Rhinolophus ferrumequinum: one gene and its partner. The protein of the gene in region 1 interacts with the protein of each later gene in a biochemical or structural test. Links are inferred from orthologs where the notes say so. Each region holds a gene or a part of one and is shown on either strand. Other genes may lie near its edges.

Region 1 (8,186 bases):
TGGTTAAAATGGTAAATTTTGTTACTCATATTTTGTATAATTTTTAAAACTCATTTTGTTAGCAGATACAGGCAAGGTTAGTGAATAAACAAGGTACTATGTATAGCCACAAAAAGGCAAAACGAATGCCATACACAGGAAATTTCCACTGGGATTTCTTTGTCTTTTGGAGATCGGGTCAGGCAATGGAATTGTTTCATATGACCTTAGGTTAAGGGCAAAATGTGACTCTCGCCCAACGTGGGGCTCGAACCCACGACCCTGAGATTAAGAGTCTCATGCTCTACCGACTGAGCTAGCCGGGCGGGCCAGCTGGGGCTTTTAACAACTGTTATTAATAGTTGTTACATCATGGTGGGATTTGGGTAGATTCCAGCTCCACGTTTCAAATTCGGCTTAGTTAAGAGTATGATCCGGCCATTAAAAGGCTCTTGGCAGCCCCGAAACTCACATTCTGACGATCCTGCCTGACTGACCTTCCCACTTCCCGTCCGTTTTCTGCTTGCTGTCCTCTGCCAGTCAGCGACCTAGCTCTTTTTCATCCCCGGGAAGCTCACGGCTCGGAATGAAAACGTGCGCATCCTGATGCCACCCTTTGATTTATTTAAAATCCGGAGTTGTAAGGCAGAGTCAAGGGATGGGAGTAGGTGAGAGCCGCAGCGGATACCTGCAATGGGTTGCAAACGCCATGATACGGAGTTTTTCCTCCCGGCCTGTGCAAATAACGTTGCGAAACGTGGAAAGAGAGCAAACAAAAAGAGCGCTTCCCTGCGCTGGAGATGACGGGGATCGAACCCGGGGCCTCATACATGCAAAGCATGCGCTCTACCACTGAGCTACATCCCCACTGGTATAAGGTTGGCTCCCTGCATTCTGTTAGCAGTTTACTGGGGCAGGGTGCAGGGAGGTGGACACTATCGGTCAGGTGCAACAACCCCGAGGATGCAAAACCCCTCGGCAGCCAAACAAGGAGTTCCAGGGTCCTCTACTGAGTGACTGCAGGTGAGAGGACCTTGACCGAGAGACTCCCGGGAGAGGACAAAGCAGGGATGAAAACCTGGAGGCAGCGGTGGAAAAAGGGGAGGTCTTTTGACGAGGTGCTCAAAATGAACTATAAACCGAAAAAAAGACTGTGAAGGACACTACTTTTGTAAAACAAAAAGAACGGGGAGTGTAGTAAATATGAATAATATTTGTATTATAATTCAGAATCATTATGTTACAAATAATCATTTACAATTATTTGTAAAATAATTCAGGATTATTTGAGATGAGGAGGGGACTGGTGTGCAGGCTATCGGCAGACTTTTCAATGTGAACCGCCCTGTATATCTGAATTTTGAGCTACCTCCAAATAAATTCAATCCAAGAAAAGTTTACAGAGCGCCTATTAGGTACCTAGAACTGCTCTAGAAAACGGAGTCTAACGGTGAACAAAATGAACATAGCCCATCCTCTCTAACAGCTCGTGTTCCAGAGGAGTTAGAGTGCTGGAGCATTGAGAGAGAGAATGTAGTAAGGTGTGATTTAAACAGTGTGGTCCTGGCAGGCTTCACTGAGAAAGGTGATATTTAAAACAAGACTTGAAGGAGGTGGGAAGTGAACCATACATGTATCTGGGAGAAGAGAGGTCCAACTAAAGGGAACAACCAGTTCAAAGGTAGGATCTTTCTGACATGTTGCAGAACAGCAAGGAGTTCCACGTAGCAGGAGGGGAGTCAACAGTTGGGAGTGGTAGGAGATGAGAGTTGAGAGGCCGGGTGCAGGGATGGGGAAGAATGTGTAGAGCTTTTGGACAATAGTAAAGACTCTGACTTTTACTCTGAGAGAGGTGAGAGCCACTGGAGGGTTTGAGCAGAGGAGGGCCATGATTTGACTTAAACATAATTGTTGTCACAACTGAGTGGAGAAGATAGGGGAGTGGGGCAAAAGGGGAGAGACTGTTGCCTACTGGAGATGGTGCAGTGGAGGAGGTGAGAGGGTGTGGACATGCTGAGGACTGGTGGTAGGTTGTGTGCAATTTTTTCCTCTTGGCGTTACAGAGGAGTCCCCAGTTTTGACCTGAGCACCTGGAGGGATGGAGTTGCTGTTAAATAGGATGGGATGAGGAAGGCTGTAGGAGGAGCATGTGGTGGGGCAGATCAGAAGTACAGCTGTGGACACAGTGACGCCCCTTAGCACACGCAGGTGGAGATGCAACCTGGAGTTGGATGTGGGATCCAGGCATCTTAGGGGGACGTGGGCTGGGGTTGTGTATTGTGGTGGCAGCAGGGAGAGGGTCATTCAGGCCCAGAAAGTGTAAGAGATTACAAGGGAGTGAATACAGACAGAGGTTCAAGGACTGAGCCAGGTCAGGGAGAGGAGATGGAGGTAGCAGGTCATGGCGCTAGCTGGGAGAGCCTGGGAGGCGCTAAGAAGGTGTGAGGAAGGAGGAAGCACTGTTTGGCTTGGGATTTCTTGAAAGTTTTTTTCTTTGCTTCCCTCCCTTCCTGCCAAACCTCCAGGAGTCTGTTTGCTATACATTTACTATGTATACCAGTTTCAGTGGTTCTGTTTACTCCAGACCGTATGCATAACCTGGCTCAAAGACTTGAAAGAAGTTTTTACATCATCCGAAGACCCCTCCTATCCCTGAAACAAACCAGCCTCTGGGAAGTGCCTTTTTCAAGAATTGCCTGATCAATTCGCCTTTCCTTTGTTTGGCCTGTCCTTACATGCCTATAAAACCTTTGGCGGTATTAAGAGAGGGCAGGCAGTCTTTGTGATAAGAGTCCACTGTCTTCCCTTAACTGGCATTTTGGAATAAACTTGTTTTTTCCAACCTCGCCTTTCGAGTTTTGGCTTTCGTGGGGCGAGCAACCGGACCTTTAACACGGTAGCAAGAAGGGGCCTTTGCCTTTGGGTTAGGATCGCGGAGGTCACTGGTGACTTTGATAAGAGCGATTTCTGAGGAGGGTACGGGCGAAAGCTTGACCCCAGTGGCCTCCAGAGGGCATGAGAGAGGGTGTGGAAGCAAATGATACTGGAGGGACAATAGAGGGTTGGGTTTTTTCGGGGGGATAACACCTAGTAAAGTGGGAAATTTTATTGTAAATGTATTACTTGTTAAACAAAAATTAAAGAATAAACAAGGGGGGAGGGGACAGCAAAAAAGGTAGGCACAGAGGTGGATATAAGGCCACACTTTGGGGAGGCAAGAGCCAGGTTCCAGATTCCAAATTTAGCTCAGCACAGGGCGGGGACAAACCCGCACTCCGGTAACCTGACACTGTGGTCCGGGTGCCAGGCCCTAGCCTGGGCCGTGCGGGGTCAGCGTAGGGCGCCATTCAGGAGTGGCGCCCAGCTGGGCGTGTGCACCCACCTGTCCCGGCTTGTTTCCTACAGCTGACTGAGTCAGGCTGGGGCGGTCTGGAGGGGCTGAGCGAGGAGGGAGGCGGAGAGAGGGCCTTATGGGGCCGAGGAGGCTGCGGGCCAAGGCCGGGGACTGAGGGGTCCTGAGTGGGGGGACGCAAGCTCGCACTAAGACCACCTCGCTGCGCCTCCTGGCCCGCAGGCGCGCCCTCGGGGTGGGTTTTCCAGCTGGGCGCGCCCCTAGCGGCGGTGTCGCCCGCCAGCGCCAGCCGCGCCCATCCCCCCAGTGGGCGGCGGGAGGCCCGCCCTGGCCGCGGCGCTCTCAGCCGCGTACTATCTGGTCCCAGTTCTCCCAAGCACCGCCCGATTTGCGTGCGCTGAGGGCGCGCATGGCGGCAGTGGGGCCGCGGAGCGGCCCGGGCGCCGGGGCCGAGGCGCTGGCATTGGCGGCGGAGCTGCAAGGCGAGGCGACGTGCTCTATCTGCCTGGAACTCTTCCGTGACCCCGTGTCCGTCGAGTGCGGCCACAGCTTTTGCCGCGCATGCATCGCGCGCTGCTGGGAGCGCCCGGGCGCGGGGTCTACCGCCGGCCCCCGCGTGCTGCTCTGCCCGCTCCCGTGTCCGCAGTGCCGTGAGCCTGCGCGGCCCGGCCAGCTGCGGCCCAACCGCCAGCTGGCCGCAGTCGCCGCTTTACTGCGGCGCTTCAGCCTGCCGGCGGCCGCGCGAAACGAACGCGATTCCCCAGAGGCGGTGGCGGCCGGGTGCGCGCAGCACGGCGAACCGCTCAAGCTCTACTGCCAGGACGACGGACGTGCCATTTGTGTGGTGTGCGACCGCGCCCGCGAGCACCGTGCGCACGCTGTGTTGCCGCTCGAGGAGGCAGTGCAGGAGGCTAAGGTGAGCGTCTGGCCCCACTCCTGCCAGCCCCCGCGAGCCCCGGTCCCGGTCCTGGTCCTGCCGTCCGCCCACTCAGTGCGGACGACAGGCAGGAGGCCCAGGTATTAAGAGAGGGCAGGCAGTGCCTCCTTTCTCCTATCCCATGCTGCCCAACACTGGCTCTGGGACCGAGCGTGGCTCTCCCTCTGTCACCCCCACACCAATAGTACCCCCCAACCCCCCTCACATTTTCCTCTGTGCCTCATACTGGAACGCCTGCGCAATGACCGCCAGATTTGGCGATTGTCTTTCAGTCCATTCCCGGCCTCTAGCGGCATTTTGGGCACACCCACACAACCGCTGTCCCCACTCTAGGCTCTTTACTTAAGTGAGACGACTTTTCCCAAGAGATCCGGCAAGGATGGGTGGCGCCAGGGTTGAGTAGAGCGCGGAGAGAGCCGTCTGGGCTGTGTCAAAGCTGCTAATTCCGGGCTCGTTTCTTTCCTGTCTCCTTGTTGGGGCCTCAGCTGAGATGTGCACGGAGGCCTCGGGCACACAGTTCCCAGTCTTTGTTTTCTTTGCTCCTTACACTGATCCAACCCTTCCACACAGAGGGATTTCTAGTGGAGAGGAGAGCAGGAAGGACAAGGCGTTGGGCTGCTGGGGCCGGGGAGGGTCTTGTGTTTCAGCCAGAATGTGCGCAGATGGTCTTGGAGAAGTGAGACTCAGGGGCGTTTGGCGTCACCCAGAAGTTGCCCTGTCCCCTATGTGCAGTCTGCTCAGACAGTATCCATCCCATCCAGACCTCCTCTATGAGGGCCTTCCTTTCTCCTGGATCCTCGCCTCACAATTCTCCCTTCTCACCCTCCTCTAGGAACTCCTGGAGTCCAGGCTGAAGATCTTGAAGAAGGATCTGGAGGACTATGAGATGTTTCGTTCCACGGAAGAGAAGGAGAGCAAGGAGCTCCTGGTGAGCCCGGTACCCCCAGGTGCCTCCCCAGAGCCACCCCACAACAACAGAGGGCCGGCTTCCCACCACCCTGGCTGTTTTTGATGTGTGTTGGAGTGTGTGCCTGTGAAACAGTAGAGATGGACTTTAGAACGATAACAGGGTTCATATTATATAGGGTGACCGTACACTTTATTCTATAGCCAAAGCTTTGGAGAGTGAAAAGGAGTGCTAAAATAATCGTTCTAGAATAGCTGGCTTAACTGGAACCGTCCCAGTGAATCAGGATGTATAGTTACCTTAATGTTACATAACACCCCAATGAAGGCCTGTGGTAGCATCTTGTATTTGAACGCATTAATGTTTCTGTAGAGACGTGAATGTTCATACTAAGTGGAGACATAAATACAGTAAAATAGCCTCATGTTTGTCCAGGGCATGTTTTGCCACCAAAAGAGTTATGAAAAAACCTTTTTTCAATTTTAAAGGTTTTAAAGTTTTGAAATTGAGGCTAAGTGGCAGGCGGCTCAGTGGCTGTCAGCTGCTTCTGGTCTAGCTAAAGGTCCAGTTAAACGAAGATTTGCGGACAGGTTTCCAGCAGCCTTGTGTGCATAGCGCCCCCTGGTGGGTAGGGACGATATTTTTGTCGTCTTTACAATGGAACAGGAAAGTGAACTGGGGCTCATTTTGGTTAGGGCGGGCAAACCTGGGTCACGGTCTGTAATTTTCTACCTCTCAAATAAAGTTCTTAGCTCAGTAAATTGGTCTTAAAAGAATGAAAGGATTTACTAGAGCCTGTTAGGACAGGGCCCATTCAATTCTGGATTTGGGAATTGGAGGAAGAGGAACTTGAGGACCCTCCTAGCCTCACGGTGGGTAGGGGGTGGTGTGGAGGGGAAGACCCTGGATTCAGATGCCCCAGGGTCCTTTCCTGACCCTCAGTTGCATCTGGTGCACCTGCCTCCAGTGTGCATCCAGCTTTCCCATCTGATCATTCACTTCCCTCCACAAGGAAGGGCCCAGCCCTCCTCTACTGGAGACAAGAGTGTGTGACTCTTCCATCTGGGACCCAGAGGAACTTCCACAGTGAGGGCAGCTTCCGGTCTCTGACCCCACCCACCATGACACTGCCTAGCACTTTCCTCTCTTTCCTCTGCCAATCCACCACCCCTCTGGCCCTCACATTCTTTAGAATTACAAAATACCTGCTTAATGAAACAACAGAGGTAGAGGACTCTTGCTGCATAACAAGGAAAGTAAATGCTTTTATTTGAAAATGCTCTTAGCATTTAGAGGAGTGGTTCTCAACGGGGCAGTTTGCCCCCCAGGGGACATTTAGCAAAGTCTGGAGATATTTTTCATTGTCTGGGGGCAGTGTGCTACTGGTATTTAGTGGAAGAGGCCAGGGTGCTGATTAAGCATCCTACAGCACAGCCCTCCATAACAAAGAATTGTGTGGTCTCAAATGTCAATAGCACCAGGGTTACCCCGATTTAGAGTATTTTGGCTAATATTGTTCCACTTGCTATTTCTTTGGGAGGCCATATGGTATAGTTGCAAGAAGTTCAGACTCTGGTGTCAGACTCTGGGGTTAGAATACTGGCTTTCCACTTACTGGTCACATGCCTCTATCCCCTCATTTGTTAAGTGGGATGAGAGTACACCCACGCCATTGGGTTGTTGTCAGAGGTGAGTGAGTTAACACCTGTAAAAGCCCTATGCTGCTGCTGCCTGCTTGCCCAGTGTCCAGGTGATGAAGGTCCTGGGGGAGCCATGGCCTGAACCCAGGTCTCCTGATTTCAAAACCCATCCACAGTCTCCTCTTCCTTGGAGTTTTTCAGGGAAGAGGAACTGATAGTAGAGCTTGTGCTGGAGGAACAGAATCCTTCTCACTTCTCACTGGCCATGAGGGAGAGGTCTTGCTTGTTATGTCATGTACAGCCCCCCCACATGTTCATGTAAAGAGTCAGGAGCATGAGTCTGTGTCTGAAAACACACGAGTGTAAATCCTGTGGATAATGGTAATGGAAAGAATAGAATATGAAGCCTGCACACAGCATATTCTCACTTGGGTCATTGTGGGTGTGCTGTTACCTCTGGTCACTGGCATTGATCTTCCTTTCTCTTCCTACTTTTCTGCATCTTCCAGATTTTATATTACCAGCATGTGTTACCTTCGTAATTGCTAAACATAAATGGTGCTTTTTAAAATGAAGTAAAGTGAGGTGTGAAAGTTGGAGGGCTGACGAATGTTATGAAACAAAATTGACCTGAGTACATTTAAAGATCTCACTGGCTTTATTCAGTGATTGATGAATTGCGCAGCATCTAATCTAGCAGATAGAAAGGAGCTCTGTCCTTTATAGGCAGAGACTTTATAAGCAGTGGGAGGTAACGAGGAAATTGTACAAGGCAAAAAAACAGGTTGGTTGTTGCAAGGTTACTTTCCATATAGGGGATGGCAGAGGCTTATCAGGCAGATTACTGAACAAAGGCGATCCCCGATTAGCTGGTTTAAGACTCCATTTCTGGGAGAACAAAACTGGAATGAAGTCTGGTGATGTGGGGCTTATCATAAATGAGTATTTTGTCTATTTTCTTGTGTTTAACATGGAATATATGTATTTGGGGAAGAAAAAGTGACCTCAGTTTAATCCTTATAGTTGCCCCAGGAAGCACTAATTTATCCCTCCTGCTTGCAAATGAGAACACTGTAGCCCTCAGTAGTTCTGGGGTGAGTTTGACATTATCCTATGTTGGTGGGAGAGCCCAGGTGTAAGGAGACACACGGGCACATCTGTGTCAGGTAAAGGGAGAGCATGTGTTGAGCCTGCTGCGTGCTTAGAGTTGGGATATTTAAATTAGAGTGTGTACGGGGTGGGCACATCTGGGTAAGCCTCTGACCCCTGAGCAGTGAGCCTACCCTGTGGGATGGCTCAGAGGCCCCTGTCCAAATGCAAACCTTGATGCCCACGTCCCCTAACCTCTCCAACTTCTCTCCTGGGACAGAA
Region 2 (8,186 bases), about 2.8 Mb from region 1:
ACAGAGGACGGGTGATCCCACTGTGCCAAATCCTGGGCCACGAGCCCGTGGCAGATAGTGGGGCTGTGCAAGTATCCTTGCGGAAGGACTTGAAAAGTCCACTGCCACCCGTCCCAAGTAAAAGCAAACTGCTCTTGACACTCAGGTGCAATGTCAATGGAGAAAACAGCATTGGCCAAGTCCACTGCATAGTGATATGTCCCCAGGCGGACAGTCAGACAATCCATTAAATCATGTATTGAAGGTACTGCCGCGTGCAAGGGTGGCATCACCTTATTTAACTCCCTATAGTCCACAGTCATTCGCCAGGTCCCATCTGGCTTCTTGACAGGCCATACTGGGGAGTTAAAGGGACTGTGCGTTGGCCTCACAATATGTGCCTTCTCCAATTCCAATATTATAGACCAATCTCCTCCTGTCCTCCTGACAGGTGGTACTGTCACACTGTAACCACGCGCCACGGCTGTGGCAACACTTGAGGAGGGTGGTGAGCATGTCCATGTGTCACGGATTTCACCACCCGGATCTGGAGACAGAACTCTCCTACCGACATCTGTAAGCTGAGGCCATGTAGCATGTCCACCCCTAGAATATACTCCGGAACGGGGGAGACATACACCTTGTAGGTACGAGGGGGAAGCCTTCCTATACCCAGTGGTAAGGAAACAGCTTTCACAGTCACAGTCTTTCCCCCGTACCCATCAATGCAGATTGCTGGTCCGGGGAAGAGTTCTGGGTTCCCATAAGCAAGACTTCAGTCTGCGCCAGTGTCAACAAGTGCCAAAACCCTCTGCACATTAGAAGGGGACCAATGTATGGACAGTTCCACGTGGGGCCTCTGGTCCCTGCTGTCCCCTCTGACCGGGTACCTTGGCCCCAGCCCTAATCAAGCTGAAAGGAGTCGGCCTCAAGTGGCCGCATGAAGTCCTGGAGGGACACGGGTCGCGCTTTCCCAGACTTCTCCTTTAGGCTTCTCTGGAATTGCTGTTCGCGATGCAACTGTTTCCAAAGTTCCAGCAGGAGTTTATTGTGTTGTCGGTCTATTTTCTCCTGATCGACCCCTGCTGCCACAAGATCATGCCACATCTGTGCGCGTGTTGCTCTCTGAGGCCCGCGACCTCACCCCTTTACTTTTGATTTGGGCTTCCAGGTCTCAACTGCGCGGACGTCCTGTCTTAACTTCCTTCGCCTCTGGCTTTCAACATACTCTAGGGTGACCATGGCAGTTGTAACTTCATGGATCCGTCACCCCACATAGAGCGTAAGAATGGCAACTAAGGATCCAAAGGCACTCGCAGGTACAGTATCCAAAACCAGATCTTTCATGCTGGCTGTAAAGAGCTCGTCATCAGGTCCCTGCATAATAGGGTTGAAAATAGCATGTCTCATACCCATTTCATGGATGATTTGCGTAAGTTCCATATATGACTGCCATTGACTCACAGTGTCTGGCAGCTCGCCAGCCTGTCCCCATACTGTGCGTACAGCAGCAATGAGTCACTCCATTAGAGTGGTTGCCCTGGTCTTGGGCCAACCTATGGCAGTTCTGTAACCTTTGTCGCAGGGACAGATGCACTGTCACAAAGGCTAGCTTTTCCATCTCTCCTGGGGAGCAGAGAATGTTGTCTGCTCCCTCATCCCATAAACGTAGTAGCGGAGACTGGCTCTCCAGGGCGCTGTCTGTACCGCCTCCCCAGCTCCTGCAACTCAGTGGGAGTGTAAGGGGTGTAGGTTGTGAACTCAGTCACAGCTGGGTTGCCGGCGGGGCCCAAAGGTTGCTCATGCTTTACCTTTTGTTTCAAGATTGGCTGGGCTTGGGGGTTAGGAGCTGTATTGTCTCCACTCGCCTCCTCCGCCTCTGCCTCACAGTCTCCACTGTGGGGCCCCTCTTCTAACAGGGGGACCCGAGCTTCCAGCGCCTCCAACTGGGAGACCTGGTCCGGCACCTGGGCTATTTCATTAGGCGCATTTTCCGTGTTGAGACTCAAGGCGGTGAGGAACATCCAGCCCACGCGGCCGGCTGTAGCCTTCTCCTCCTCCGGCAACTGCTCAGCCAGAGCCTGCAGGGCCCTCTCCACCCTGGCTGGAGAGCCATCCATGTCTTCCCACCCCTCCTTGGGGGTCCAACTCCTGAGAACAGTGGCCACTGGGCACCACACACTGTGTGGGGGCCACACGTCCTCCTGCCCAGAGTCAGACTCCATTCCTACCTGGTTGGAATCCTGCTCACCGTGCCAGAGGTCTGAGTGGGTGGTGGCCTCGGTGTATAATGTCCACAACCCTCGGAGCCTACAGCAGAAGCAGATCAACAAAAAGAGGACAACACCTTCCATGGCCAAGAGGGAAGTGCGCCATCTGGACGCTCGAGTCTCCCAGGCAGATCGCTCCCGGTGTCACTCCTCGCCGGCCTCCCGAAGCTGAACTTTTGTACGCATAAACTGCTCCACCATCCTCCGGTGAGTTTTGCCCAGCACCATACCCTGCTGTGCCATTTGTCATGCGGGGTCTCTGGTCCCGCTCCCCACATAAGAACATAGGATATGGTGAGGCCAAAAAGGAACACCCACAGAGCCATAGGTAGGGGAGTCATACCACTATATTCTCGCTGGCGGCTGGATTCACACGACCTGCGACCTGCTGTCTGCTTTTCTGCCAACCGACCGACGACTCAACTCTCCACCACAGCTGCGACACTTATATCAGTGGCCAATTGGCTAACCGGCCACAGCTGACGGCCAACTAGCCACAGCCAACTGCCATCTAGTACCCGAGCCAGCACCTTTCCACGTGAGGCTGAGAGCCTGGAAACTGCTCTCTGGGGCTCTGTTCCCACAGCAGTCTAAAAAGATGAGGTAATAGCCTCTTGTCAATCCCAGACGTCAATCAAGTGGACCTATGCCCGGAAAGGAACATCCCATTTGAGAGAAAAAGAGATCAAAACCACCAAGGTCTGGTTAGCCGGGGCCATTGAGCCATTCTCTGCTGCTCTGGTCGCTTCTATTTCTTTGGAGTGTACTGTCTTTTCTAATAAACTACTCTTTCACCACTTTATTTCCGTGTCTGGTTCAATTCTTTGCTGGAGAAGCCAAGAACCTAGACTTCGCGCCAAGAAGGGCCCACTCTCCGGTAATAGTTGCGGCTGAGAGCTCTTGGAAGGCGGGGGTGAAATCACAGGGCGTGCTGGGGAGCTCTGCAGAGGAGGAAAGCCTTACCTAATGTCAGCCGGATTTCGAAGAAGGAAAAGACTGCCAGGCAGCTTCTGTCCTCTGGACAGCTCCCAGCGATCCCGCGCACAAAAGCAGTCCTCCCGTCACGCAGGGAATGCCCGCGTGGTGGGGACTGGGGACACTTCTCTCCAAGGCCCTGCCCCCTCTCTGCACGGACACCCGGGTGCAGGACCCGAGATAAAGCAGGTGCTGGCCTGTATCAATCCCGCCCAAGGTGGCGGCATCGCTTCCTGGGGTGGTCCTTCCTAAACGCCCACGTCGGCCAAAGCCGCTCCTGTGTCCATTTCCATTTTGTTTCAGAAAATAGAAAAGACAAGGTCTGCAATCAAATCCCAGCGGCAGGTGTGAGTCAAGTACAGGCGACCACAGCAGCGGAGATGGGACAGGGCCGCGCAGCCGGCTCTGAGAGGCAGCAGCGTGCCCTGTGATGGAGGCGCAGGCTGCGGAACATGTGAATTGCGTTCCAGCCTCAGCGCCACACGGACGCGCGGCCACGCGGGAGAGCACAGCCGCTCCCGGGGCTCCAGAACTGCATGGTCCTAAGGGGCAGACTGCAGGTGCCCAGGGGTCCGGGACCCCGCCGCCGCCAGAGCGGAGCCGCTCCCGCTCTACGATCGGTGTGATCTCCCCTCCCCAAGTGTGCGCTGTATATATTTCTCTTATTTTCATTTCCTATCTAAGCCCAGAAATTAAAGTATCTTAAGGGGTGTTCAACCCAGTAGCAGTGGAGGAGATACAGAAAACACATAGATCTGAAAACACAAGACTAAGGAGATTTTATGACAAGAATTTTCTATATTCTATGTTTATATTCCTATTTATATATTTACATGAGAGGTGGTCTGGACCTGAGAAGGGAGAGCTGTGGGGCGGGGGGAGGGATGTCGGAGGGGTATGGCGGGCAGCCGGCCTGACGCCGACATACCCCAGACACCCCAGGTCCGTCCGCGGCTTTTTCTAAAATCCCCCTTGGGACTCCACAGCAGCCGCACTCCTGCATTACACGCCTATCAGGAAGTCAGGAGTACACCCAAAGATGCGTGAAAACATTATGGCACAAATGAGCATAAATCCCAACAAGTTCCAGACTCAGACACCTAACCGAGCGGCCAAGCAAAGACAGTAGAATAAAGGAAGCTTTGGAAAGCTCCGGAAGGAGCTTCAGCCAATCGATTTGTCGTGGGGGGCGGGCTGGATTGAATTTGAACCAATTCAGACGGGCCATTCAGATAAATACCAGAGGCTGCAGTTTGTGGCTGGTCTGACGCCGACGGCCTGAGACTGCGCTTGAGCGGGCCTACTGGGAAGGGGAAGCCCCTGTCCCCACCCCGAGCGTCCCTGTACCAAGGTACTCCTGCTCTCCGGTACTCCTGCGCTCCCATACTCCTTTATCCAGCACCCCTGCAATCCCGGTCCCCGCGCCCGTACAGCCGGGGACGCTTGCACTGCTGCCGCCCTGAAGTCCCACCGCCTGTGCTGTCCTCCCTACGCCTTGTGCGCCCGCCTAGCCGGACCCCAGCGCCAGACCCGCCTGGAGGACTGCGGTCACCCCCTGTATACCTTCCCCACCAGGCGATCTGGTACTACAGCACAGCATTGAAGTATACAGGTGGTACCAAAAATATGTATACACATTTTAAGAAAGGAAAAAAATTATTAAAACTGTAATACTCAATATATACTGATAACAAAAGATGAATACAAGTCACGTTTGACTTCTGCAATTACAAGAGGTGCTCAGAGTGTTTACCATCAATCAGCGTTTAGACACATCTGATTACTGCAAACTACCACTTGAGCAACTGTTGACCAAAATGTCCACTTGTATACATTTTTTGACACCCTCCTCCCCCTGTATTTATATTATGCTATTCATACAATGGTTGAATTACTACTCACTCTTAGTGGCTCAAGGCTCACTACCATCACAGGTCTGTGTGAGGCCCCTCTTGTTTACATCCATACATGTATATATGTATCTGTATCCCCAAATGTGTTTTCCTGTGATGCCCATTTTTTCTGACTCTGACCTTCCACTTGGCAACCATTCTATTTTGTTTACTACATTGTTTTGGGGTGAATTCTGACAAAATGTGTATTCTTCAGTGTTCATACTGCACACTTAATTTACATAAGTCCCATGCTAGACATGCTGCTTTCTTCATTCTGCCCAGTTCTTCAGCTCCACCCACACTTCTGTGGGTATAGAGTGCATTACTTCCTGTTCTGTAGTTCCTCAGTGGAGGCCACACATTTCCTCTCTTCACTTCTGGCTGTTGGACCCTGAGATTGCTCCCAACTTTGATCTCCTGCCGGTGCCCACATTTTGTGCTGAAAAACCTCAGACATTTGTAAGAATTAGGTTATTTATGGAACCGGCAATTAACAGTAAATACGTTTAGGTACTAGATCATAGAGTCTAGAGATATAGGGTATAGGCTTTTAACTTCAATTGCTTTGGTTGTCACATAGCTTATAGTCAAAGATTAAGAAAGTATGTTAGCCACTTATAGTCAAAGATTATAAAGTATGTTAGTCATGTCCTGAAGGCCTGCCTGTAAAGGTTCAGGAGAAGTGTGTGAAAGTACATGTTGCTTGAGACAATAGAAAGATGTAGCTAGTAAGGCACAAAATGATAGCTTAAACAATAACGATGGTCATGAGATGCTTAGTTTCTGCTTTTTGTTTTAAAGATAACCTCACTGACTGCACTGATGAGATGTTTTGCAGAACTTGGCTTCAACCCAGCCAGATAACCTGACCACAGTGAGGAAGTCACCAGAGATTGCAGGCACTAAATTAATCAGCCGGAGGAAAACCACTGAAGCTTCCATAAGAACTAACTAATTTACCCTTGACCTCTAACCCTAATTTCAGCCTTTAAAAATCCCTCAAAATACTGATCGAAAAAAAATGCATGAGAAGTAGTTTTCAGTGTAGAAAGGAAAATGGTTTGATATTGAACTGGCCAATCCAGAGCCGGGGAGTTTATGCTCTAAAGACCTGACTCCCTGATGGCGTGTAGGTTACAGATTGTGTGGTGCAAAATCACACAAGATAAAAAAATCACAATATACCATGGATTGGAGGTTGGGTTGTACTGAGAGGTAAGGGTAATGCATCATTTCTTATAAATAATCCAGGTCTTGAGGACAGTCCTGAAGTCTTTCCCGGAGTCCCTCTTTCTGGTCTCATAGGAAAGCAGCCAGGGTGTTGTTCCGCCTTAGGGCTCAGGAGCTGAAACATAACTTAGGTGAAGATGTTATCTTATCTTGCCAGAAGTCCAGACTTTGTGACCTTTGGTCAGGTCCTGGCTACTGTCTTCCGCTGCCTTGGGGTTTATGATTATCAAGGTGTTGCCATAAAAAGAAAAAATGGTTCTTGGTGTATGCCACAGGAAAGAATTCAAGAAGGCACCTAATAAGCCAAACAAGCAGCTTTATTAAAAGGATAGTACACTTTCAAGGTGAAGAGAGCAGGCAGGTCTGGAGAAGAGCAGCTGCTCCAAAGAACAATGAGACTTGGGAATTTATCTCACTAAAAATGAAGGTGCGAAATATTCCAGAGTTAGGGGTGGCCTTATAGACATTCCTAGGTGGGTCCTTGCTGACCACTCCTTCCCATGGAGGAGGAATTTTTGTCCTTATTTGGCTCGGTCGGACATGTCCTGGTGACACAGGGGGGTGGAGATTTTCACTAACCACAATGCTAATCATATTATAATCCATATAATTAGCTAAAGTTCATCTTGAGGGGCAAGATGGCCTCCTGGATCTGCTCTTGAAATCTAATCTAGTTCTGGCCAGTCTGGTAGCTGCACTTTTTCTTAGGGAGAATCTCATCTCCCTCTTTTGTCTCCCTCACCTCCTCCTTGCCTTCCTCGCCAGGTCCTATTCTTTCTGCCTATGGTAACAAAGAAAAAGGCTAGGTCTCTGAGAGGTGTAGAGAGAAAGAGGGATATGATTTCTAAAGCTAGTCACAAATCAAATCAAAATTGCGAGGACCCTTGGTTTCAGTAAGTTGTACTTTTTCGTCCTATTTCTGCCTAAGAGAAATGAAAATTAATTACTTTCCTTTTCCAGGCGCCGGATATGAAATGTCCAAGGAATCAGACCTTCATCTAAACACATCTAAACATATCGTTAATAATTTCCCTATACACATAGCCGACAGTCTCTTTCCCATTCCTTTCTGTACACCCTGGTTTGTGAGAACAGAACTTAAAATAGGGTAAACCAAAATGCAATAAAACACACATGAAATACACAAGGTAATTGTGGGATTGCAATTTCCTGTAATAAAAACTGTTAGGAAGGAAAAAAAACGTTTTCCTCTACCCATTTCAGGCTCACTGACTGGGGCCCCATAAATTAGACTGGCAAACAGATTAACAAGAGAAACACAGTGTATTAATGTGTGCAGCATACATCATCACCTGGGAGAAACCTCAGCAATGTTACTCAAAGGGGTGTTTAGAACTTGGGTTTATCTAGCATCTTAACGTAGAATACATTTGTAGAGAAGTAACAGAAAGGAAACAAATTTTAGGTTTCCAAGGGTGGCAAGCCATGGGAAGGTAAATATTTGGGGGGAAGCTAATGGAAGATAGGGCTATTAGTGCAGGTCCACCTTGGCACCATCTTTCCTCTTCTTCATGGCCATAAAACTTTCCTGGAAGAAGGGCTTTACAGCAGTTCTCATTTCTCAGAGTTTCTGCATTTAGTCAGGTGGGGGAAGCAGTGGGAGGGCGTCTTTCCACATCTGTTGATTGTCATTTGTCCCCCACTCAAAATAATCCTCCTGCCAAAGAGGCACATTTTGGGGTAGTGTGGCCTGCTACTCTTCAGAATCCTTGACTTTTGTTCTAGTGGTCTATATTTTTGTTGCCTTTTTTTTAAAAAAAACTAATTTGTCACACTCTTATAGAAAATACTCAGATTTTTTCATTGCTGCCAATTT

The links.
Region 2: the proteins of TRIM7 (region 1) and RNF187 interact in a test that uses a peptide from one of them, tested with the Homo sapiens proteins (2 studies listed by BioGRID, with this or other methods). The link is inferred for Rhinolophus ferrumequinum from reciprocal best matches to the Homo sapiens genes TRIM7 and RNF187.

The regions. Positions count from the first base shown.
Region 1 is NC_046307.1:4,162,103-4,170,288, reverse strand, and holds the start of TRIM7 (E3 ubiquitin-protein ligase TRIM7), read left to right. Parts: upstream 1-3,531; 5' UTR 3,532-3,740; coding exon 3,741-4,247; intron 4,248-5,100; coding exon 5,101-5,196; intron 5,197-8,184; coding exon 8,185-8,186. UniProt on the Homo sapiens protein: E3 ubiquitin-protein ligase that have both tumor-promoting and tumor-suppressing activities and functions in several biological processes including innate immunity, regulation of ferroptosis as well as cell proliferation and migration.
Region 2 is NC_046307.1:1,321,559-1,329,744, reverse strand, and holds the start of RNF187 (E3 ubiquitin-protein ligase RNF187), read left to right. Parts: upstream 1-4,121; coding exon 4,122-4,166; intron 4,167-4,623; coding exon 4,624-4,807; intron 4,808-8,186.